Linked DNA regions of Macaca mulatta. The protein of the gene in region 4 purifies or fractionates together with the protein of the main gene of each other region. This does not show direct contact. Links are inferred from orthologs where the notes say so. Each region holds a gene or a part of one and is shown on either strand. Other genes may lie near its edges.

Evidence for each region.
Region 1: the proteins of MEX3C (region 4) and YWHAE purify together in Homo sapiens (affinity purification with mass spectrometry; 3 studies listed by BioGRID and IntAct, with this or other methods). This does not show direct contact. The link is inferred for Macaca mulatta from reciprocal best matches to the Homo sapiens genes MEX3C and YWHAE.
Region 2: the proteins of MEX3C (region 4) and AP2A1 purify together in Homo sapiens (affinity purification with mass spectrometry; 3 studies listed by BioGRID, with this or other methods). This does not show direct contact. The link is inferred for Macaca mulatta from reciprocal best matches to the Homo sapiens genes MEX3C and AP2A1.
Region 3: the proteins of MEX3C (region 4) and MYCBP2 purify together in Homo sapiens (affinity purification with mass spectrometry; 3 studies listed by BioGRID and IntAct, with this or other methods). This does not show direct contact. The link is inferred for Macaca mulatta from reciprocal best matches to the Homo sapiens genes MEX3C and MYCBP2.

Annotation. Positions count from the first base shown.
Region 1 is NC_133421.1:2,894,680-2,900,406, forward strand, and holds part of YWHAE (14-3-3 protein epsilon), read right to left. Parts: intron 2,593-5,727; coding exon 2,456-2,592; intron 1-2,455. UniProt on the Homo sapiens protein: Adapter protein implicated in the regulation of a large spectrum of both general and specialized signaling pathways. Binds to a large number of partners, usually by recognition of a phosphoserine or phosphothreonine motif.
Region 2 is NC_133424.1:62,266,685-62,272,411, reverse strand, and holds part of AP2A1 (AP-2 complex subunit alpha-1), read right to left. Parts: coding exon 5,659-5,727; intron 4,977-5,658; coding exon 4,808-4,976; intron 4,676-4,807; coding exon 4,538-4,675; intron 4,263-4,537; coding exon 4,080-4,262; intron 3,248-4,079; coding exon 3,150-3,247; intron 2,818-3,149; coding exon 2,586-2,817; intron 2,493-2,585; coding exon 2,325-2,492; intron 2,233-2,324; coding exon 2,072-2,232; intron 1,688-2,071; coding exon of another isoform or gene 1,622-1,687; intron 1,271-1,621; coding exon 1,214-1,270; intron 1,107-1,213; coding exon 1,024-1,106; intron 916-1,023; coding exon 826-915; coding exon of another isoform or gene 737-825; intron 1-736.
Region 3 is NC_133422.1:71,890,895-71,896,621, forward strand, and holds part of MYCBP2 (E3 ubiquitin-protein ligase MYCBP2), read right to left. Parts: intron 3,764-5,727; coding exon 2,120-3,763; intron 1,244-2,119; coding exon 1,074-1,243; intron 472-1,073; coding exon 227-471; intron 1-226. UniProt on the Homo sapiens protein: Atypical E3 ubiquitin-protein ligase which specifically mediates ubiquitination of threonine and serine residues on target proteins, instead of ubiquitinating lysine residues.
Region 4 is NC_133423.1:41,103,829-41,110,092, reverse strand, and holds the start of MEX3C (RNA-binding E3 ubiquitin-protein ligase MEX3C), read right to left. Parts: upstream 4,148-6,264; 5' UTR 3,850-4,147; coding exon 3,096-3,849; intron 1-3,095. UniProt on the Homo sapiens protein: E3 ubiquitin ligase responsible for the post-transcriptional regulation of common HLA-A allotypes. Binds to the 3' UTR of HLA-A2 mRNA, and regulates its levels by promoting mRNA decay.

The DNA.
Region 1 (5,727 bases), on a different chromosome or scaffold from region 4:
TTTTTATTACTTTTACTCTCAAACACCCATCCCCAGGGGTGAGAGGGTATCATTTCCTCAAGTCAATCCCGCTTCCCAAACTCTCCACGTGCTTTCCCTCCATCAACAGGCAGAGAGATGCTAGTATCTGAGCTGGGGATGACTGTTAGGAGTCCACAGCTGTTTGGCCATTCTTCTTCATAGTTGTTAAAACAATTTTTTTCCCTTAAGAGATGGCACCTCATTCAGTCATCCAAGTTAGAATGCAGTGGCGCAATCAAGGCTCACTGCAGCCTCAAGATCCCCCAACCTCACTGGAGTTTTTTTTTTTTTTTTTTTTGAGATAAAGTCTTGCTCTATGAAGCCTCGCTCTGTCTCCCAGGCCAGAGTGCAGTGGCGTGATCTCAGCTCACCGCAACCTCCACCTCCTGTGTTCAAGCAATGCTCCTGCCTCAGCCTCCCAAGTAGCTGGGGTTACAGGCACATAGCACTGCGCCCGGCCTTTTTTTTCTTTTCATTTTTTTAAAGACAGGGTCTTACTATGTTGCCCAGGCTGGTCTTGAACTCCTAGGCTCAGGCATCATCCCACCTTGGCCTCCCAAGTCCTGGGATTACAGACATGAGCCACCGCAACCAGAGTGGGATAGATTTCAAGCTGGAAGCCACTTGTTCAGAGTTGGTAAATTGTTTCTGAGTTCCAAGGACTGGGAGTAGCAGCCTGAAATGCTGCGCTGGGAAGTGGTCCGTGGCTCCATCTGGCACTATTGCAAGCGTGTAAGTAAGTCCTATGTATATGAGTATCTCATGCCAATCCCGATTTAGTCAAATCCTAAACATTTCCTAGAGCTAGGAAGCATTAAAAGCTGAGTCTCACTTTAGTACCATAACCCAAAAGTCACAAATCTGATTTGATCCTTTCAGAGAAAAGACACATACGTGCCCACTTTCAGAAGCGTTTTCAAAAAGTGTAACACTTCCAAAGACAATACAGCAGGTCGATTTCCCCAACAGACACTACAGATAGCCTCAAGCAACGCGACATATGTTTCAGTCTAAGAAACTTTTTTTTTTTTTTTTTTTTTTTTTTTTTTTTTTTTTTGAGATGGAGTCTCCCCTCTGTCACCCAGGCTGGAGTGCAATGGCACGATCTCAGTTAATTGCAACCTCCGCCTCCTGGGTTTAAGCAATTCTCCAGCCTCAGCCTCCTGAGTAGCTGGGACTGACTACAGGCGCCCGCCAACACACCTGTTCTATTTTTAGTAGAGACAGGGGTTTCACTGTGTTGGCCAGGATGATCTCGATCTCCTGACCTCGTGATCCGCCGGTCTCGGCCTCCCAAAGTGCTGGGATTCCAGGCCTGAGCCTCCGCGCCCAGCCCAGCTTAAGAAACATGCTTAAAGGAATCGCAGCTAAAACTGACAACAGACTTTGTTTCCAACCTCCTACCAGCACCAGCACCACCAAATGTAAAACTATCTTGTAATGTAATGCTCATATCACACTAATTTGTCTTCTTCTCCACCCCTGTTCAACAATCTACCATGGATAATAATGATTCTCTAGAGAGAGAGAATTAAATTTCCTTTAAAATCAACAAACGTTAACAAATTTGGGCTTCTGTATTTAAAGTAAACATTCACACACACTCACCATCACAATTAAGTTTAGTAAAATACTCTAGCTAAATTGTTTGCAATGAAAACCTCTTAAAAGTAACAACAGCCGGGCACAGTGGCTCACGCCTGTAATCCCAGCACTTTGAGAGGCTGAAGCGGGCGGAACACCTGTGGTCAGGAGTTCAAGACCAGCCTGACCAACATGACGAAATCCCGTCTCTACTAAAAATACAAAAATTAGGTGGACATGATACCGGGTGCCTGTAACCCCAGTTACTCCGGAAGGCTGAGGCAGGAGAATCGCTTGAACCTGGGAGGCAGAGCTTGCAGTGAGCCGAGATTATGCTACTGCACTCCAGCCGGGGTGTTGCAGCGAGACTCCATCTCAAAAAAAAAAAAAAAGAAAAGAAAAGAAAAAAAAAAAGACCCAAGGGCCAACATACAATTTCTCTGCTGAACCCCAGAGGTAAATGGGAAATTAGTTCCCTTTTAGATAAAAAATTTCAACAAAGAGAAAAACTTCATAAATACCTATTGATACCATCTGGATTTAAATACAGTTAACTTCAGCCCCCTAAAATTGAATCTGGACGAAGATAAAATAAACTACTTGCTTTCCACTTTTCCTTTCCTCAACCTTTGAAACAGTGTAAAGGAAGACTTAAACTAAGTTCCCCAAAATGGAACTCGGTACTTTAGCACCATTTCCTATAAAGGCAATAATTAAAATTTCATAGAGAGCAGGCAGTGAGTCTAAATTGTAGCTTGATGTAAAGATATGCCAAGGAATGTCTACAGAGAGTAAAAACAAATCCTGCAACTGAAAGAGGTGCCTCTTTTACTTCCTAGTGTTTGCTTACCGTCACCCTGCATGTCTGAAGTCCATAGTGTCAGATTATCACGTAACAACTGCATGATAAGTGTAGAGTCCTTATAGCTTTCTTCACTCAGCGTATCCAGTTCTGCAATTGCATCATCGAAAGCTGCTTTTGCCAACCTAAAGGTATTTAAATAAATGTATTATAAAAATTAAATCCAAAATCAGAATTAGAAAAGACATGCTAGACATCAATCTCTTCTTCAGTTATTCCAGTGTGTAATAGTGACAATGATACAAAGAAAAAGCAAATACAATAAAAATTAACTTAAAGGTATGTGGAGCACTACTATTTTTTCTTTTTTTGAGATGGAGTCTTGCTCTGTCGCCCAGGCTGGAGTGCAGTGGCGCGATCTGCAGAGGCGCGGCCTCCCAAAGTGCTGGGATTACAGGAGTGAGCCGCCGTGCCCGGCCAAGTTTTTTTTTTTTTTTTTTGAGACGGAGTCTCGCGCTGTCACCCAGGCTGGAGTGCAGTGGCCGGATCTCAGCTCACTGCAAGCTCCGCCTCCCGGGTTCACGCCATTCTCCTGCCTCAGACTCCCGAGTAGCTGGGACTACAGGCACCCGCCGCCTCGCCCGGCTAGTTTTTTGTATTTTTTAGTAGAGACGGGGTTTCACTGTGTTAGCCAGGATGGTCTCGATCTCCTGACCTCGTGATCCGCCGGTCTCGGCCTCCCAAAGTGCTGGGATTACAGGCTTGAGCCACCGCGCCCGGCCCCAAGTTTTTTTTTTAAGAGATTCGTTATGTTGCCCAGGCTGGACCTGAACTCCTGCGTTCAAGCAATCTTCCCACCTTAGCCTCTTGAGTGGCTGGGACCAATGGTACAAACCACCCCCCCCCCGAGATATTTAACAAAGTATTAATGCAAAAAGAAAATCTTGGACAATACCTCAAAGTTTAATAAAATTTAATTTCACATTAATGGAGGCAGGGAAGCAAAGAAAATAAAAGGCAACACAGAAGCCACGGAAATGTGGTCATGTAAGCCTTTTACAGTTTTTTTTTTTTTTTTTTTTTTTTTTTTTTTTGAGACGGAGTCTCGCTCTGTCGCCCAGGCTGGAGTGCAGTGGCGCGATCTCGGCTCACTGCAAGCTCCGCCTCCTGGGTTTACGCCATTCTCCTGCCTCAGCCTCCTGAGTAGCTGGGACTACAGGCGCCCGCCACCGTGCCCGGCTAATTTTTTGTATTTTTAGTAGAGACGGGGTTTCACCGTGGTCTCGATCTCCTGACCTTGTGATCCGCCCGCCTCGGCCTCCCAAAGTGCTGGGATTACAGGCGTGAGCCACCGCGCCCGGCCTGCCTTTTACAGTTTTAAAAGAAAATCCACACCTACTGAATACTGTGTACTATGCCCAAGAAATGATACCAGATACCAATAGAAAAAAAAAAAGAGAGACATAATCTAAGTCCACAATCACCTTAAAACTTTAGAAATGGAGGATGGACAAATGTGTAACTATTTTAAAAGAAGGAGGAGGCTGGGTGTGGTGGCTCACGCCTGTAATCAGCACACTTTGGGTGGCCAATGCGCGCGGGCAGATCACTTGAGGCCAGGAGTTCAAGACCAGCCGGGCCACCATGGCAAAACCTATTAAAAACACAAAAAATTAGCCAAGTATGGTGGTGTATGTCTACAGTCCCAGCTACTCAGGAGGCTGAGGCAGGAGAATTGCTTGAACCCGGGAGGCGGAGGTTGCAGTGAGCTGAAATTGTGCCACTGCACTCCAGCCTGGACAAAAAGAACCAAAAAAAAAAAAAAAAAAGAAGACGACGAAGACTCAAGTGCTACTCTAAATGAAGTATCTCAGGGACCCAGGAGGAGCAATTAATGGGAAGGTCAAATTTGAGCTAACCTTAATGGATCAGGAGAAAGCAAAAAGAACACACTTCAAGTTTAAGCAAAAGCATGAGCAAAGGCATGGAAGTGACTTAAAACTGGAGCTACACGTGGGACAGCTAGACTGGAGTCTGACAAGGAAAGGTGCAACCACCAGTATCAGTTAAATAGCCAAAGCTTCTTCAGTTATGACCCCTATCCTGGACAAACTCAACTAGCCATTTAGAATATTTTTAGATTGGCTGAGTGCAGTGGCTCACGCCTGTAATCCCAGCACTCTGGGAGGCTGAGGTGGGTGGATCACCTGAGGTCAGGGGTTCGAGACCAGCTTGACCAATATGGTGAAATCCCGTCTCTACTAAAAATGCAAAAAAAAAAAAATCAGTCGAGCACAGTGAAGCATGCCTGTAATAGTCAACGTTAAAGTTCTAATGTATCAGTTAATCTACTTTCCTCAATCTCTGAAAGGCTTTCACTTAAAAAATCTACTTGGCTTAAGCAGTGGTCCTCGACAAACCAAAAAAAAAAAACACACAAAAAGCAGAAGAGGCCGGGCATGGTGGCTCACGTCTGTAATCCCAGCACTTTGGGAGGTCAAGGCAGGCAGATCACGAGATCAGGAGATCAAGACCATCCAGGCTAACACGGTGAAACCCCATCTCTACTGAAAATATTAAAAAATTAGCCAGGCTTGGTGGCAGGTGCCTGTAGTTCCAGCCACTCGGGAGGCTGAGGCAGGAGAATGGCGTGAACCCAGGAGGCGGAGCTTGCAGTGAGCCGAGATCGCGCCACTGCACTCCAGCCTGGACAACAGAGCAAGACTTCATTGAAAAAAAAAAGCAAAAAACAACCATTTTGCTACTGCAATATTTACTGTAAAAATTTAAAAGAGGCCGGGTGCAGTGGCTCACGCCTGTAATCTCAGTACTTGGGGAGGCTGAGGTGACCGGATCACTTAAGGTGAGGTCAAGACTAGCCTGGCCAACATGGTGAAACCCCGTCTCTACATAAAAATACAAAAATCAGCCAGGTATGGTGGTGGGCATCTATAATCCCAGATACTTGGGAGGCTGAGGCAGGAGAATCGCTTGAAACCGGGAGGCAGAGATTGCAGTGAGCCAAGATTGTGCCACTGCACTCCAGCCTGGGCAACAGTGACAGGCTCTGCTTCAAAAAAAACAAAAAAAACAACAACAAAAAAACCAACAAAACAAACAAAAAACAAAGGAAAAGAAAAGAAAAGGCCAGGCATGGTGGCATCCTCCTCTAGTGACAGCTACTTGGAGGCTCAGGTACGCGATCAGCTGAGCTCAGGAAGCCATGACTGCAGTGAGCTATGAGTGCACAACTGCAGAGACGGAACAAGATCCTGTCTGGGGAAAAAAAAAAAGGTACACACAGAATTTTCAGTCCCAAT
Region 2 (5,727 bases), on a different chromosome or scaffold from region 4:
TCACCACAACCACCACCTCCAGGCTCAAGTGATTCTCTTGTCTTAGCCTCCTGAGTAGCTGGGATTATAGGCGCGCACCACTACCACCCAGCTAATTTTTGTATTTTTAGTGGAGATGGGGTTTCACCATGTTGGCAAGGCTGGTCTTGAACTCCTGACCTCAAATGATCCGCTGGCCTCAGCCTCCCAGTGCTGGGATTACAGGCATGAGCCCCCACGCCCGGCCGGAAGGAGTTTGGGGGTTGAGCTTTTCTAATTTCATCAATGTGGAAATGGAGGCCCAGAGAAGGAACAGGGGGTACTGATACCTCCAGCCACCCTTCCAGGGTTTTCCAGATACTCTGATCTTCACAATAACCCTATGAGGAAGAGGAGGGTCTACATACACTTCCCGGTGGGGACAGGAAGGCCCAGATAGGCAAAGTGACTCAGCCTAGGTCATACAGGAGGAGGCCCTGATCAGCGTCTGGACCCGCAGGCCTGGCTTCTGAGTGCAGGAGGTGCTGGCATCATGACATGGAGCCCAGTGGAGGATAATGGCAGGACACGGAAGGTGCCAGACAGGGACAAACTGAGGCCTGGAGCAGGTGAGTTCCGGAAGTAATGCCTCCCACACACCACTTCACTGTCATCTCCTGTCCTGGGGGAAGGAACCCCACCCCCATCTTACAGATGCAGACACTGAATCTCAGAGAAGTAACTGCGTGCCCAAGAGGGGCTAAAGAGAAGTGTGGACCTGGGTCAGCCAGCTTCCCCACGATGAGGAAGGCCAACCTGGAGAGGCAGGCCTGGAGGCAGGAGGCTGGGCCGGGCCTGAGAGGATATGAGTCTGGAGGTCTCCGGGGTGGACCACAGTGGGTGAGAAATTCTGGAACTGTACCGAGGTCTTGTTGCCATAGAAGAGATACATGCGGCCTGCAGTAGGTGGGGGAGGCAGAGCTCCATCTGAGTCCCTCTGACCCCTTCCCCAGGCCCAACCCAAGGTCTCCCTCCCACCCATTCCCACAGTCCCCTGGGACACACCTAGATTCTGCCGGAACTCTGACTTGACTCCGATCTGCAGCAGCTGGTTCTCGAACAGAACCCCGTTGTTCTTACACACAAACCTGGGTGGGAGTGGCAGGGGGCGCAGGATGACGGGGATGCCTGCCTGCACCTGACCTAGGCTCTGCACCTGTCCCCATTCCCCTCCCCCACCTCTCCCAGGACTCACTTATTCAGCAATTCATCGGCTTCCGGAATGGGAGGGCCAATGTCTTCAGGACCTGGGCTGGAGGCAGTGAGTGAGTGGAGTGAGATGGGAAGGGACTTGGTGGGGAGGGGCGAAGACCCAGAGCAATTGAGTGTGAGAACAAACCCTAAGGACAGAACCCCAGAACCACATATCCAGACCCCTCACAGAGCTTCGAGGAACTTCACATCCGTTCAGCAGTGGCCTCTAACGGGAATGGAACCCTGGCCCGTGCCCCCGCATCGGCAGGCACCAAGTTTCCCTTTCCTCAAAGTCCCTGCCTCTGCTGCTCATCAGGAACCCGTTGACAAGAGCTCTCAGTCCCCTAACTCTCCCTGGGGACACCGGAGTCTGCCCCCCCGCGACCTCCCACCCCAGGCCACCCCTTACTCAGCAGCTGGAGCTGGGTCAGCCAGCAAAGCCATGGGGCTCTCGGGGGCAGGCGGCTCCAGCTCGCTGGGCCATCCAATCCCAGAGCAGACAAGAGAAGACAGGCGTGGCAGCCAATCCCAGACAGGCAGCAAGAGGGCCGGAGAGAGAGAGACAGAGAGGGAGAAGGGAAGGAGAGAAGGAGAAAAGGAAGAGCAGGCTGAGAAACGGTGACAGGAAAGGAGACAACGAAGGGTGGCCAGTGTCGGTGGAGTCCAGAGTGGGAGAGGGAGGCTGTGAGCAGGGAGGCTGGGGCAGGGGAGGCAGCAGCCAGGGCTGGTGAAGGCATCGGGATGGAGAGAGGAGCGAGTAGGGGGCTGGGGAGGGGCTCAGGGAAAATGCGGGCAGAGGCCGAGAAGGGACAGCCCTGGGGGTGGCTGTGAGAAGGGGCCCGGGCCCAGGGGGTGCTACCTGAGGAAGGCCTCCTCGGGGGTGGGCCCCAGGCTGGGCTGGGCGGCCGGGCCATCGAAGACGTCCACCAGGAGGTTCCCTGCCCCTGCAGAAGCCGGGGGTGCTGCCGGGGGAGGGGCTGCCCGCAGCCCCAGGAGGTCGGCGGAGGGCGAGGGCGTCGACTGTAGGAAGCGCAGGTCATGGTGAGGACAGATGGCACCCTGGCAGGACCCAGCCCCAGGCACCCTGGCAGGGCCCACCCCAGGGGACTCACCACAGTGCTGGGGGTGGGCTCTACGCCCCCATTGATGTCGTTGCTGCTTGGGTCCCTCCGGCCATCATCCAGGGCACTGCCAGCCCCTGGCCCCTTCTTGCGTTTCAGCTTGGCCAGGATGGACGACTCGCGCTCGGGGAAGGGCGGCATCTCCTCCAGCACCGTAGCCTGGCGCAGTCGGGTGGGGAAGGTCAGTTCGGGTCAGGAGGAGGGGAGAGCGGGAAGGGGGTATGCCAGGGTGGGGAGGGGCAAGGCTCTGACCAGGACGTCGGTGCTGGCCACCGAGCTGAGGGTGAGGTACTCCACGGCTCGCTGCTGCAGCTCCACGTCAGCATTGCGCAGCTGGGAGCCGGCCCGCAGCACGGCCTGGATGGTGGCCTTGGTCTCGGGGAAGAGGTTGATGAACTTGATGTAGGTGGACAGCAGCAGCGCCCGCGTCGCCACGCTGCACAGGTGGAACTTGGAGTGGAGCAGGGAGAACTGCACCGGGGGGCTGTGCGCGGGAGTGGGTGTCAGCGGGGACCAGGCTCCACTGCCCTCTCCCAGAAACCCCCTCGAGAGGCACCCCTCCCTGGGATGGACCTGTCCCAGGACCCCAGGCCGCTGGAGGGGAGTGGCCCTCCCCAGGCACCAGGCAGGGGCCACAGTCACACTCTGTCCATGATCCTGGGACTGAGGTCCTCTCTTACCCTGCTAGGTGGGTTGGGGTGGAGGCCGAGAGGATGGGAGCCCATCACCGCCTACCCTGAGACCCCTGGGGATCCCTCAAGCCCTGGATCCGTCAGAAGTGTGTAGTGTTCCCCCCGCAGGCTGAGGCTCCCTCACCTGGAGCGGGGGTCCCCAGCAATCAGGTTCCCAAACTCCCCAAGGATGTAGCCGCCAACCTTCACCATGTTCTCATGACAGGCAGGGGCCTGGAGCGCCTGGGGGGGGCGGGGAAGGGCGTGGAGAGGACAAGAATGAGCACTCTCTCTGGGAGCACTGGGTGCAACCACCTCCTGACTGGTGGAACCCTCAAAGCTCTGCTGCGGGTGGGGTTATAAGTGGTAAACTGAGGCACAAAAAGGTTGAGTGACCGGCCCAAGCTCACACAGGCCGTAAAACAGGGCTGTGAGCCAGGCGTGGTGGCTCATGCCTGTAGCCCTAGCATTTTGGGAGGCCGAGGAGGGCAGATTGCCCAAGCTCAGGAGTTTGAAACCAGCCTGGGCAACATGGTGAAACCCCATCTCTATTAAAAATACAAACAAATTAGCTGGGTGTGGTGGCATGCGCCTGTAGTACCAGCTACTGGGGAGGCTGAGGCAGGAGAATGGTTTGACGCTGGGAGGCGGAGGTCGCAGCGAGCCAAGATCACGCCAAGGCACTCACTCCCCAATCCAGCCTGGGTGACAGAGTGAGACTCCGTCTCCAAAAAACAAACACACCAAAAAAAAACCAAAAAACAAAAAAAACAGGGCTGTGCAGGTCCCCTTTCCTGGGGCAGAGGGAAATGGAAACTACCGAGATCTGGGGCCAGGACTGCACACCGGGCTCCCCATGCCCATGCCCTGGGGACTCCTCACATCAGGAGGGTAGGAGGGACCCAGAGCCCTGGGTGCCCTGGGTTGGCCCAGAGAGGCAGAAGCCCCACTTTGAGGTCACAGCAGTGCAGGAGGAGGATGGCCAGGGGCTGGCAGGCCCCACAGCCCCGGCCGTCCTTGCTCTGCCTCTAGGTCCTGTCGTGGGGTCATGGGGGTCAGGGTCAGGAATGCTGACCTCAAAGACCGTCTTGGCGGCGTAGCCCTGGACGTCATCACGGTTGGTGACGATCTGTAGCACACGGTACCACACCTCTTCACTCACGTAGTCGCCCGCGATGCGGATGAGGTTGAGGATGGTGTCCACATACCAGCTGTAGTCCACGGCGTACTTCTCAGCCAGGATGGCCACCTTCAGGACCTGCCGCCGGAGCGTGTGAGAGACAGAGTGCCCGCAGGCTGAGTCGGGCTTTCACTCACCTGGCTCTGGGCTCACCACTGCCCCCATCTGGAGACCCAGGAGTCCAGGTCCCAGCCCCTCCTCCCTCAGACCCAGGAATCCAGGCCACCAGCCACCTATCCCTCAGATCCAGGTATCCAGGCTCCAGCCCCTCTTCCCTCGGACCCAAGAGTCCAAGCCCCCAGTCACCCCCTCCCTCAGACCCACAAGTCCAGCCCGCACCCCGCAGCACTCACGATCTCCTCGCGGATGGCATAGTCGGCCGTTTCCAGGTACCGCAGCATCTCCGACACGATCTGCTTGGCATTGCTCCGGTCACACATGGCGTAGAGGAGGTCAGCTGCCCGCTGCCGCACGCTGACGTCCCGCTCCGTCTGAGGGTGGACAGCAGGGCCCAGGTGTGTTTTAGACTCCCTGTTGGCACAGGGTTGGCCACCCAAGGGCCTCTGAGCCTCTGGTCTTTCTGAGGGGGGTGGCAGGCCCAAGTGGGCTCCAAGGGGTCACACCTTGAGGGCATTGATGACGGTGTCAATGTGCGTCTTGACGGCTTCGTGGGAGAACTCGGAACTGGCCAGCGTGCACATGCTCTCCAGGGCCAGGTAGCGCAGGTTGGTCTCCCGGTGCTGCAGGAACTGGCCCAGCTGGTTGCAGGCCCGCACCAGGAGGTTGGGCTCACTGCCCGCAGGGGCCACAAGAAAGGGATAGTGAGAGAAACTGACAGGAGGAGGTGGAGGACTCGGGCCCCAGCTGACCCACCTCACAGCCCCCAAGGATCCAGGTCTTTTTTTTTTTTTTTGAGACGGAGTCTCGCTCTGTCACCCAGGCTGGAGTGCAGTGGCCGGATCTCAGCTCACTGCAAGCTCCGCCTCCCGGGTTCACGCCATTCTCCTGCCTCAGCCTCCCGAGTAGCTGGGACTACAGGCGCCCGCCACCTCGCCCCGCTAGTTTTTTGTATTTTTTAGTAGAGACGGGGTTTCACCGTGTTAACCAGGATGGTCTCGATCTCCCGACCTCGTGATCCGCCCGCCTCGGCCTCCCAAAGTGCTGGGATTACAGGCTTGAGCCACCGCGCCCGGCCGGATCCAGGTCTTAACCTTGCCGGCCCTACATTGCAGTCCTGCACCTCCAGTGACCCAGACAGCTGGGCCTTTGAGCCCAGAGAAAGAAACCCAGCAATTCTGCCCCCAGGAAGCGCCCCAGCACCAACCTCACAGGTGACACTTCACAGCCCCATCCTTCTACTACCCTACCTAAAAGTCAAGATTCCCTGCCCTCTGCCTAGGACCCAGGAGTCCGGGCCTCCACGCCCCTCCTTCCTGGCCCCGGGCATCAGGCCCTGGTGGGCCCAGGCGGGCACCTGTCATAGTGGATGATGAGGCTGATGGTCTCGAAGAGGATGGCGTTCTTGGCGTTGGAGTGCTGCACC
Region 3 (5,727 bases), on a different chromosome or scaffold from region 4:
TAGTAACAATGTAAATTGATGAAGCATTTTTATAGTTTTTTAAATACCTACTACCATAAAGTCATTATGTTAGTCAAGGCAACTCAAAAAAATAAATGCCTGGAAGTTTCTTTACAGTACATAGTATCTAATAAAGTATAGGTCAAATACTGAACTACCCTAGATATCAATAAACAATCACTGTTAATCCAAAGGTGATTAAAAAACAACAACAAAATTTTATTACCTAGCTAATGTCTGAAGGTAGAGACAAGGCATTTTCACAGGAAGATCCTCAGAAATGCCTTCTTTCACGCTGGGCAACTGAGATTGGAATGGCTTTGCAGGATGGTAACACAGAATGCTCGGTTCGGCTGCACTGCTCAGGGAGAGCAGGAAGAGTGCATTGGCTTTAATCACCTGGTGAGCTTCCATGGTGGGCAAGGCACGAGGGGTCTTGACTTGCATTGGTTTTCTCCTAGATTGTTTGACCTGGCAAAGAAAAAAAATCAAAGTAATCTTTTCTGACTTATATTAAAATATTTCGTTCCTTAAGCTAAGTATTTTGAGTTTCCAATAAAAATTATTAAACACTTGTAAAGCTATTTTAAAATACTAAGATTATAAAAAAACAACATTCACTTCATATTCATCCTGGGCTGACTATTCTGTATTAAACACAAACTATACTTCCTTTCTTTCTTCAGAAAAATTTAACACCTAACTAGTTAAATCTAAATATAATTCATTTTTTTAAAAAGTAAATCATCTGTGTGTATTCAGTGAAATTTTTTAGTTAGGTTAGCCACTAGAGTGAATAAGGAAAAGAGAGAGTAGCTATGGAATAGGAAAACAAAGGAGCCAAAAAAACAGGTAGCAGAGGTTATCTAGTGTTATTCCAATATATAGTTAATTTTTAAAATTAAAAGCAGCTGACGTAGTACAAATATTAAATTTGTATATGATTTCCATTGTAAAAGCTGATCTTTTATATCAACTATGCGGAATTATCTGATGTAATAAGATCATAAAAAGCTATTTTTATAAAGTGTATCCATATCATTAAAACTATAGCTCCGAATGGAATAAAATACCTTCTCCCTTGCAGCAGCTTGTTTTTCACGGAGGTATTTTTCTCTACAGCGATCACATACCAGATACCAAGTGCTTCCTCCTATGCCACCATCACCACAGTTACCAGCCCATCCTCCACAAAAATGCCCAATGCTATTGTAACCTTGTCCACCAGCATATCGGCCACAACCTTGAAACAATACCAAAAATAAATATTTAACACTCCAAGTGTCCTTAATAGTTTGATCCTTATTACTCATAGATTAACGACAGATTTACCTTCTCAAAGAAAGCAAAATACTGAAATAGATATCTGATTTTTCAGGCTATTAACTATATCAGAAAAATAGCTTACTTGATCAAAAAGCAATTAATTAAACGATACCCCAAATATGAGAGATACTTAGTTTCTATTCAGGCAGATTAAAAGAGAGGTAGACTATAGGTACATTTAGATATACTTAATTATGTCAATAAAATTAGACAAAACAAGTAAAAAAGTTCTATAACAATGATATATTTTCAGAAGTCACATAAAACATTTGAAGTATAATATGTAGACAAAGAAAAAAATTACAAATACAAATTTGTATTAGGTGAATTTGGAATATTAGTCAATGTTACAGAAATCATTACATTTACTGAAAATGCAGTCTTCTGATAAAACAGTATCACTTCCATAGGAAAAAGCCTATCGAAATCAATATAATCTAATTTAATTTGCAATTCTGAACAGGAAAATAGTAAAATCAAAGGAGATGCCCCATGTGTATGGGCACGCCACTGATTCTGTTGTGTGAGACAGACACATTAATGGCACACCCTTTGGGTAACACATAAATTTTTTTAAAACATGCTACATGAAAGTGAAATAGCACTAAATGACCTTGTCATCATAATATTAGAATTTCTTTATCTGTTTTTTGCAAAACCCTGTACTGATAATGTACTTTAAGATACTATAAATTCCCTATCCTTTGCCAAAATTCATATAACAGCTCAAATGAAGTGATCCGGTTCAGTAAAGAAAGAAGTACTTATACATACATTCGCCAGTATCATTTACCTGGGTGAGCTTGTCTCATGTGATAGGTCACTGGGTACGGATGTGACTCCCCACACAGTTCACAGATGGTATCTTTCTCTGGTCCTCCTACCGCCAGCTGGGCCATCTCTCCAAACAAATTACCCCTGGGCCTCACTTCTGCCTTTTCTTTTTTCTTTTTTTCCTTTTTGGCCTTCTTATTCTCTTTCTCACACTCTTTCTTTTTAAGAACTGCACAGGAACCAGGACTTGGAAAAATCATATTCTGGGAAGCAGCTTTGATAGTAGCCAAAGAGATGTCTTCCCAAAAAGCCACTAAATGTTGTAAAGTTAAGGGAAGAGGAGATTTAGACTTCATTGTGTGATGCATGGACATTTCAAAAGTGGTCTCAGTTTTCCCATCCTCGCATTTTTCATGCAGAGGTGGTTCCTTAAGCATAGATAATACCTTGTTTTTGTTGATGCTACCCATCTTAGATATATCTGGTCCATGGGGTGCAATATTAAACATATTCAGTGCAGATGATATTTCCAACGAATGTCTATTTTTTAACTTGGTTTCTTTTTCCTCTGTAGGCTGTTGGCTATTTAAACTACTCCTTATAGGAGCATGTTCTTTGGAAAGTTCAGGATGAAACTTTAGGAAAGAAGAACAAGCCATTGCATCATGTACTATGCCTTCATGCCAGAGGAAGGAAGCAAACACAGCTCTGGCACATTCGGCCACAGAAGGAGACATGGCTTGCTTGGCTGGCTCTAAAGGCTTGGATCCATCTCCTTTGAAAAGAAAACTCGATTTTTCTTTTTTGGGCCTGGTGTGTCTATTAGCACATTTTCGACTTATTTTGGGGGATGCTCTCATTTCCTGTTCATCTTTCAGTGGTGCTTTTCCAATGCTAAAATGAACTTTATTTGAACCTTCATCCACACTCTTAAATTCACTGCTGTCGTCGCAGGTGCTGTCTGTTAGACTATTTGTTTTTAAAGTACTTGAGGTGCAGACTTCGACCACCTCACTGTGGAGGTTTTCCTGTACCACATGGGGAGAGGGAGCTCTATTTTCAGATCCTGGGGAATCTGTAGAATCCTTTGGTACTGATTTTGGTTTTGGTGATGTTGACCGTCCCCTCAAAGGTTCTGTGAGGGGCATTTTCTTCTTGCGGAGGGTATCTGGATCAAGTGTGTAAGAGTCTGATTTGGAACGTTCCCGAGGAGGATCAAGTTTTGTCTTAACAGGAGCAGTACTTTTTTGAGGTAGATTTTTATCATGTGGTGAGGAGGAGCGTGGAGAACTAGCACCTGATGGGCTAGACCTGTTGGCTGGGAGAGTCTTTGGCTTAGGAGATGACAACCGAGAACCTGGTCCTGGGGATTCAGCTCTGGAGCTAGAAGGCATCCTCCCATCAGATTTCAATGTCTGCAAGGTGTTATGGTTAGGGGACAATGACCTACTATGGGAATCTGACCTCAACTTTGCAGCATCAGATTTTAAGATGAGGGATTCACTAGCTGATAAACTGTCTGTGCCCCTTGGCTTCTTCTGATCAGCAGTAGTCCGGCTCATATGTCCATCAGGTTTAAGTGATCTGCTGTGTTTAGAGGACAGCTCTGATTTTCCTGATGTAGAAGCTGGTCTAGAAGATGTTGAGATGTTTCCTCGATCACCTGTATGGTCCATTTTATAGTGAAACTTATTAATAAAATTATAACTTAGTAATGATTTAGCCACTAAACACTGAAATAAAAAACATTGCTACGAAATTCTTATTGTTTGTCACACATACTAAAACACTTGAAGAATTCTGGGGGAAATATTTCCAATAAAATTTCTACACATCATTACACAACCATTACCACCAAAAACTATTTTCATGGATGCAAAACAGGCTGAACAAACTCAGTGTGAACTATCAGTGATATCTCAACCTCTGCCCTAGTGCAATAACTAGTTAGAATTTAAATTCAGTGAGAGACTAGAAAGAGAAATTAATTTTTTGGGGAATAAGAAATTATTTAATGTTAAAACTTGTATTTTAAATGTGAAGTAGCGCTAAATTTCCAGCAGAGTGATATGTCGCATCCTTAGGGCAATGGTATGGGTTTTGTTGAATTAGAGAAATGAATTTATGCATAGACACAATTATAATTTTTAAGTGTATGCATAAATACGATTAGGCTAATAAAGAGTTGCCAAAGAGGCACTCTGTTTTATGATCAGATTAGACTAGTTTATAATGAGCACATGAATGCCCTAAAGCTATTATTTAATTACTTATAAACAGGTTACACTCCAAAAGTTCAGTAAGCTTAGCTGCTTAGAACTCAGAGGCTGTGTCCCCTTGGAAACCACAGAAATGGTGGATCCTCAGAATGAGTAGTAAAAGTCTGAACTGTGGACCCTCAAAACAAGGAGTCAGGAGAATGACAGAAAAACAGGATGAAAAGAAGAATTACCTCCCTTTTCTAAAGCAAACCATTAGATATTTCTGCATGGACATTAATTGTTTTTAGCATCCTGGCTTCATTTAGTGTCTCTCCTTCATTCTATTTTATGCTTTTCTTTGAGGCATTAGAGCCAGGCTGTCTGTGACCCAAGTAAACGGTACAAACTTCAACATCACCTTTCCTCCTTAAAATAAAAACTTCTACTCTTAGTGCAAGTGATACCAGTTAGTTGTTAGGAGAAAAGCAATCTGACTGAGGGGTTTCAAGTGGTATAAGAAACTGAAAATCCATAAACCTATCTGGAAGTATTCATATTTTTTCAAAGAGAGTTCCTAGGAAATTAAGGTGCATTTGTTAACTGGTTCTAATGGCAGGTTTTTTTTTTTTTTTTTAAAGAAAAAAGGAAGTGAACAAATTCAGATTATGTAGAAAAATGTTTTTTATGCTTGTGTGCATGTGTTAAGTGTGTATAGTCACGCTCTAGTTCTCTATGGCTCAGGACAGTAGTGCTGGAGAATCTGCCCCCATTTTTGTCAAGGGCAGGTATTTTTGTCTGTTACTCTTCACTTATGTAATACTATGAATGAGTCCAGGAATACAGTAGGTATTCAATAAATATTTGTTGAATGAGTAATATATTCCAATTTTCTTGATTTTTTTTTTCTTCTGCTACTCCCAAGTATTCAGCTTCTCTAGAAGTCTACTTTTTAGAATTAAGGCTCCCAAGGCCACAGGACAGAGGTGACAGTAGTTACTGATGTGTGAGGGTTAGATGCTTGCATGTTGAGTAATTACATGGTGAAATAATAGAGTATGGCAAGTACTTTAGATAGGGCACACTGATGAACTAAATGTTTAATTGCAAAATGCCAATATTTAGGATAAATTTTCCTGTTCTTTGGATGAAAAAAAGTAACTAAAACATAATGCTTTTTAGTTTCTTGCAAAGCTTCATTATTCAATCATGAACCTCCTTTATCATATTATATGCTCTGTTTTATAAATAGAGTATTAACAGATGGGGCTAAATTTTGAAAAAAGGGTTAAAAAATCCCAATTTAGAATTCTAACTATCAATGCTGTCTTGGGAGAACACAGATAAACAGAGGTGATCTACAAATAAGTACCCTCAAACTGTTCAAAAGTAGTTTAAAAAATTGCTGCCCATCTAATCTTACTGACCT
Region 4 (6,264 bases):
TGACTGTACAAACTGGAACAAAAACCTGCTGACTAAAATTAGACCTGTTAATCACTGTTAATATGTCTTGCAGGTACTATACTTAAAAACAGAGATGTTCTAAGTTTGTAAAATTAGGTCTTAAAATCTGTTGTCAGGTTTATTTTTGATGTCCATATTCTAAAACTTTTTTGATTACATTCAGTTCCTGGCTTCATACTGTTGTTTCACAATAGATGCAATGCTTTAAAATACAAGGCCAATTTAACATTTACAAATGACCATATGCTACTGGGGAGTATAAATTCGAGGTCAAACACTCTGCCAACTTTCATCGGTATCAAAAGCGGTAGCTAGTGTTTAGGAAAACACTGGAGCTCAGAGGCCATCTACATGAGTTGCTAGTCTATGTGACTCAGAATTCCATTTGTCCTGCTCTTTGCTTCAGAGCTGAAGTCATAAATGTCTCCATCTGTGACATAATTATTTCCAAAATCAATTAAGAGATGTCAAACAGAAAATTGTGGCTTCAGGTAATACATAAAATGGCAGAAATGGATAATTTAATCTTAAGGATGAAAATTTAGCTCCCTCAAAGCAAACAAGAAAATGAAATGATTTGCCCTGTTTTCCTCACTTAGGACAGGTTCTCTCCCATGGGGAAATATACTGTAAAAGGATGTGAACATTAGAAGTTACTTAGTTCTCCATACGAGTAAGCAAATAACTTTACAGGTTTTATTACTATCGTGCTGGGACATGGGGGTGGCAAAGGGGTACAATGATCCACAAGTTGAATGGTTCAAAATAGCAAAAGGACCAGATTTTCTGCTTTTAAGACAGAGGATGATGACATACTTTTAACAGTATTGTCAACTCCGGGAAAATACAAGGTTTAAATGGAAGAGCCAGCAATTTGTCTCCATGTCCTAAGACATAATTAAATTCAACATTTCCTTATTAACCAAATAAGCACAGCCCTCAAAAGAAAAACTAAGGCTTTATCTCATTTCCTATCATGTAATAGCTGGTACAAAATAAAAACTTGGAATTCACTTTTAAAAATTGATTTCTATAAAGATAACAATGTACACAAGGGCCATTCTGCAGTGCTTTACGGGGTGTCTACTATAAAGAAGGACAAAAGTTTGTATTAAACTAAATCTATAAAATATGTTATCTTGTCCCTCTGTAAAACTAGCACGTAAATGGTTTTTTCCTTTGTTACCCTAGACTGTTACCATAAGCACACTGAAGCAACTTGTCCTGAGAAGTGGCATCTTCATATGGCATTCAGACTTCTTCACATTCCGGTGTGAACGCCTGCCTTCCCCCTTTTCCACCACTCCCCTTTACAGACCTCAAGTATCAAAACAACACTACTTGGCAATTATACCTAGAAGATGGTCCTCCACACCACTCCTCACATTGTTCTTCCACAGTTTTTCAATCTCCATTTGTTAAACTCCTTCCTACCCATTTTCCAAGGCCCTCCACGGTAGATGTTCTCCTATCTGATACTCTGTCACACTAAATATACTATAGTTAGTGCCATTCTACTGTTTATTAGACTGTTATCTTCTTAAGGGCAGAAAGTCTGAATTAACTTCACACTCTCAACTCAATACCACAAACTCAACACCTGGCAAAATACATGCTTGGTACATGGCGATTCCTCAGTGTTCTCACATGAATGGTCAACTCATTCTGATGCAAATTGAGATGGTGTAATTTTATCCCATGTAAATAAAAGTTTTATCCTGGATTATTACTCTAAGTATCGTCAAAACCAAACAAACCAGGTATTTGAAACTCATTAACCAGAAGAACAACACACATAAGCTACCTCTCAATTGAAAGGTCCAGCTTTGAACAGTGTTGGTAAGTGCCAATCATCAGGCAGTCTGAAATAAGCTATCTCCTTTATCCAGATTTCATATGAGTTTTTATTAAAATCCTACAGATAGGAAAGAAATGAGCCAACTCTGATATGTGAAACCACCATTTCGACAGACCTCTTATTTATGTGTACTTTAGACCACTTGGGAAAGATGAGATCATTTAAGCAGCAGCGCCATCATCTCGCTTTATTTGACCCCAACAATGCTCTCAACCTAACAGTAAAGAGGCATGCATCAACCAGGCTAAACCATATTGTCATGCGGTGGCAGCAGGTAACATCTGCCCCTTTCATAAAGGGAAAAAGCTCCCATAAAGAACTTAGGACCTTCCCTAAAAATGTCGGATACAGAGGTACCCCAAGCATCTCCTTCCCCCACCTTCACAAATCTACTCCTGGAATCTGAGACATAGGTCCTTTGTCTGAACAATGTGGGAGGAGTCTGTCTGCAGTACTGGTGTGCTGACAAGTGAAGAGGAGAATTAACTGAAAACTGTATAAACACAGAAGTTTCTTAATTACCTTAGTGTCCAATTTTTCTTCATCCTGCACACCGAACAGTTTCAAAAGACAGCCAGTGTGTCAGTGTGTCTTTCCGAGACTTGAAACGTATCGAGAGGAATACAGTAAGATCGGCGGCAGTGAGTTGGGCTGCTTTTCCAAAGCTGTTTCTGAACAGCGGAGGGGCAGGGGATGGCGGTGATACCGACCATTTGAACATCCCTTCCCTCCCCAGTGAGCTCTGTCTACAGGCCTCCATTTCTGTCCTTTTCTCCATCTGAACAAGTTCTTGTAAGGGAGGCTGAACGCTTTAAAAAGAAGACACTCGGCGGCGCAAACTTGCAATCTCGAAGGTTTCCGTACCCAAGAGCGAACCCACAACTCCTCGAGCCCGACCTTTTACCACCTCACTGAGGTTTCTGGTGCCACGCCAGCCTGGTGTTCCACGAATACAGCCCAAGTAACGTGAACACCACCGGACTGGGTCGCCCGAAAAACTTCACACTTTTTACCAGGCGAGACGAGCGAAAAAGCGTGGGTTTTCGCAAGGTGACCCATCTTCACATCTGGTCGACCCTCGGCTCCTCCCAGACCCCTTCGGGGTGGATCTGGGGGCCTCGCCGGGTTCGCCCTTTCCGTCCCATGCTCATTTCTCTCGTCTCCCCACCCACGCCCGGGGCCATGCCCAGCTGGACCTCCCCACCCCTGCACTCACCCTGGCGGCCGACGATCTCGGCGACGTGCTCGGAGCTGGGCACCGGGACGCACTCGGTGGTGTTGACGCTCTTTCTCCGGAGCAGGGCCGCCTGCTCCCCGTTCAGGGCGGCCGCCGCCGCCCCACAGCCGCCGGGGCCGTAGGCATGGGACAGCATCGCCGCCATCATGCCCTGGGCATCGTCCCCTCCGTACAGCACCCCCGCCGCCGCCGCCGCGGCCGCCGCCTCCCGGGCATCGAAGCCGGCGGCGGGCAGCAACACAGACCCCAGGGACCCGCCTGGGATCGGCTGGGTCTGAGAGGCGGTGGCCGCGGGCGGCGACAGCAGCAACAGCGACGACCGGTCTTCCTCCTCTGCTTCCTCCAGCTCCTCCTCCTCCAGCAGGTCTCCGTCCAGCTCTGCTTCCTCCCCCTCCTCCTCGTCCTCTTCCAGCTCCAGCTCGGCCGCCTCCGGGGCCCCGGGCCGGCCAGGCGGAGCCCGCTCCTCTGGAGACAGCCCCGCCGCCCGCCGGGCCTGGCCCTGCGCCGCCGCCGCCACGGCTCGAAGCGCCGGAGCACCGGGATCCGCCGGGCTGGGGTCGTCGAGGCCTAGCGCGGCCAGGCGCTCCCTCAGCAGGAGCCCGTCCCCCTCGAGCTCCGGGCCGCCCGAGGGCGGCGGCAGAGGCGGCGGCGGCGGCGGCGGCGGCGGGGGCGGCTGCGGCAGGGGCGCCGGGGCCGCCGCCAGGGCCAGGGCCGCGGAGCTGCCGCTCGGCATCGCGGCGGCGCGCTGTCAATGGCGGCGGCGGCGGCCGGGTCAGGCGCGGCAGGCGGCGAGCCCCATGGCGGACAGGGCCAGGGCCCTGCTCAGCGCGCAAACACCTTTCCTCTGGGGAGGCGGTGGGGCTGGGGACCCGGGCCGTGGAGCGCCAGGGCCGCCCGGAGACCGGAGAGGGCGGGGTGGAGGGGCAGGGGAAGGAGGCAAAGGTAGGTAACTAGGTGGGTGGGTGGGGACGGCGGCGGGGCGGGCTGGTGGAGGTGGCAGCGGCTCCCTCTCAGGGTTTCTTTTGTTTCATGGCCTTAACCAGCCCCCGGCGCGCGCGGCGGCGGCGGCGACGCCCCACGCCGCTCTCCGAATGAAGCCGGCGCGCTCTGATTGGGTGTTTTTAATCTCTGGGAGCCCGCCTTCTCCTCCCGCAGCCTTCCAACTCCTTTCCCCAGCCCCACCCCCCACCCTCCTTCGGGCCCCGCCCCTCCCCTCCCCAGAGCTCTCTGATTGGGTGACCGGGACCAGCCAGCTCCCGAAGCCCACTCCTTCCGTCCTCTCCCCGCCCACCTCCCTCTCCATTCCTCCCGGCACGCGCGGAGAGGGACTGTGATTGTTCACTTTACACGTCACTCTTTGTGACGTCTCCGGCGGGGGCGGGAAAAAGGAGGCGGATGAAGGCGCTGCTGCAGAGGCTGAAACTAAGGGCCAAGCTGGGTTTTGGCGCAGGCGCCTGCGGTCGAAGCGCACACCTGGATTTGTTTCCCCCAACCCTTTATCCCTATAGCCGGTCTGGCTGAGTTCTTTTAGGGAAGGCACTGTGTGAGCGGCCTGGAGCAGAGCTGCAGGCGCAGGTTCGAGGGCATTGTTTCCTCGGGTTGAGGATGAGATCGCCCCCTTCAGAGGAAGGGCCTTAAGAAGAGTCATGGAAGGAGGGGCCACGCAATATCCTCCTATCCCCTCGCGGGGGCGGTTTCCTGAGCCGCGTGGCTCCCGGGCCTTCCCTCTCGGACCCGGGAATGCTCCTCCCTCGTGGCCTGACGCTCCCAACGCCCCGTTGGCCCGGCTTTTCTGCCGGCAGGGTGGTTACATCAGCAGCCTGCAGGTGCTGAACTTTAGCTCTTTGGGGCTTTTTTTTTTTTTTTTTTTTTGAAACGGAGTCTAGCTCCGTCGCCCTGGCTGGAGTGTAGTGGCACGATCTTGGCTCAACGCAACCTCCGCCTCCCGGGCTCAAGAGCTTTCCCTTGCCGGGCGCGGTGGCTCACGCCTGTAATCCCAGCACTTTGGGAGGCTGAGGCGGGCGGATCACGAGGTCAGGTCAGGAGTCCGAGACCAGTCTGATCAACATGGTGAAACCCCGTCTCTTCTAAAAATACAAAAATTAGCCGGGCGTGGTGGCGCACCCCTGTAATCCCAACTACTCGGGAGGCAGAGGCAGGAGAATCGCTTGAACCCGGGAGGTGGAGGCTGCAGTGAGCCAAGATCACGCCACTGCACTCCAGCCTGGGCTACAGAGCGAGACTCCGTCTCAAAAAAAAAGTTTTTCCTGTCTCAGCCTCCCCAGTAGCTGGGATTACAGGCACGTGCCACCACGCCCAGGTAATTTTTGTATTTTTAGTAGAGACGGAGTTTCACCATGTTGGCCAGGCTGGTCTCGAACTCTGACTTCAAGTGATCCGCCCGCCTCGCCCTCCCACAGTGCTGGCATTAGAGGCGTGAACCACCTTGTCCAGCTCTTTGGTGCTTTTAAAGAAATGAATCCCCGTTTCCTCCTCCCTAGACACTCTTCCCACAGTATTGCTCAGGTGATCTCACTCTGTGGCTATCTTTTCTATAGGTTATTATTTTGTTGTTGTTGAGACAAGAGTCTCACTCTGTCGCCCAGGCTGGAGTGCAGTGACATGATCACGGCTCACTGCAGCCTCGACCTCCTAGGCTCAAGTGATTCTCCCGCCTCAGCCTCCCTAGTGCATCACCATACCTGGCGCGCATCACCATGCCTGGCTAATTTTATCTTTTGTAGAGACTGGGTTCTCACCCTGTTGCCCAGGCTGGTCTCAAACTCCTGGGCTCAAGCGATCCTCCCACCTGGGCCTCCCAAAGTGCTGGGATCACAGGGGTGAACCACCGCGCCTGGCCTCTAGGGGGTATTTTTAAATGGCTTGTTAAAAAGTATGCCTGTTAACTTTCCTTTATCTTAGGGCTGTGACCGGCCCATCTATCCCTTCAGTACTAAGTCCTGCCAGGTTAATCTTAGCCAGCAGCGTGGTCCTATATCTACAGATACAGTGTAACAATGTAATTGTAAAATTTCTAAATGACCCCTTTAAGGCAAGAAGAAACATAGTTTTAATAAATACACTTAGTTCAATATGTCCAAAATACTATTTCAACATGTAAGCAATATAAAATTACTGATAATGTTTT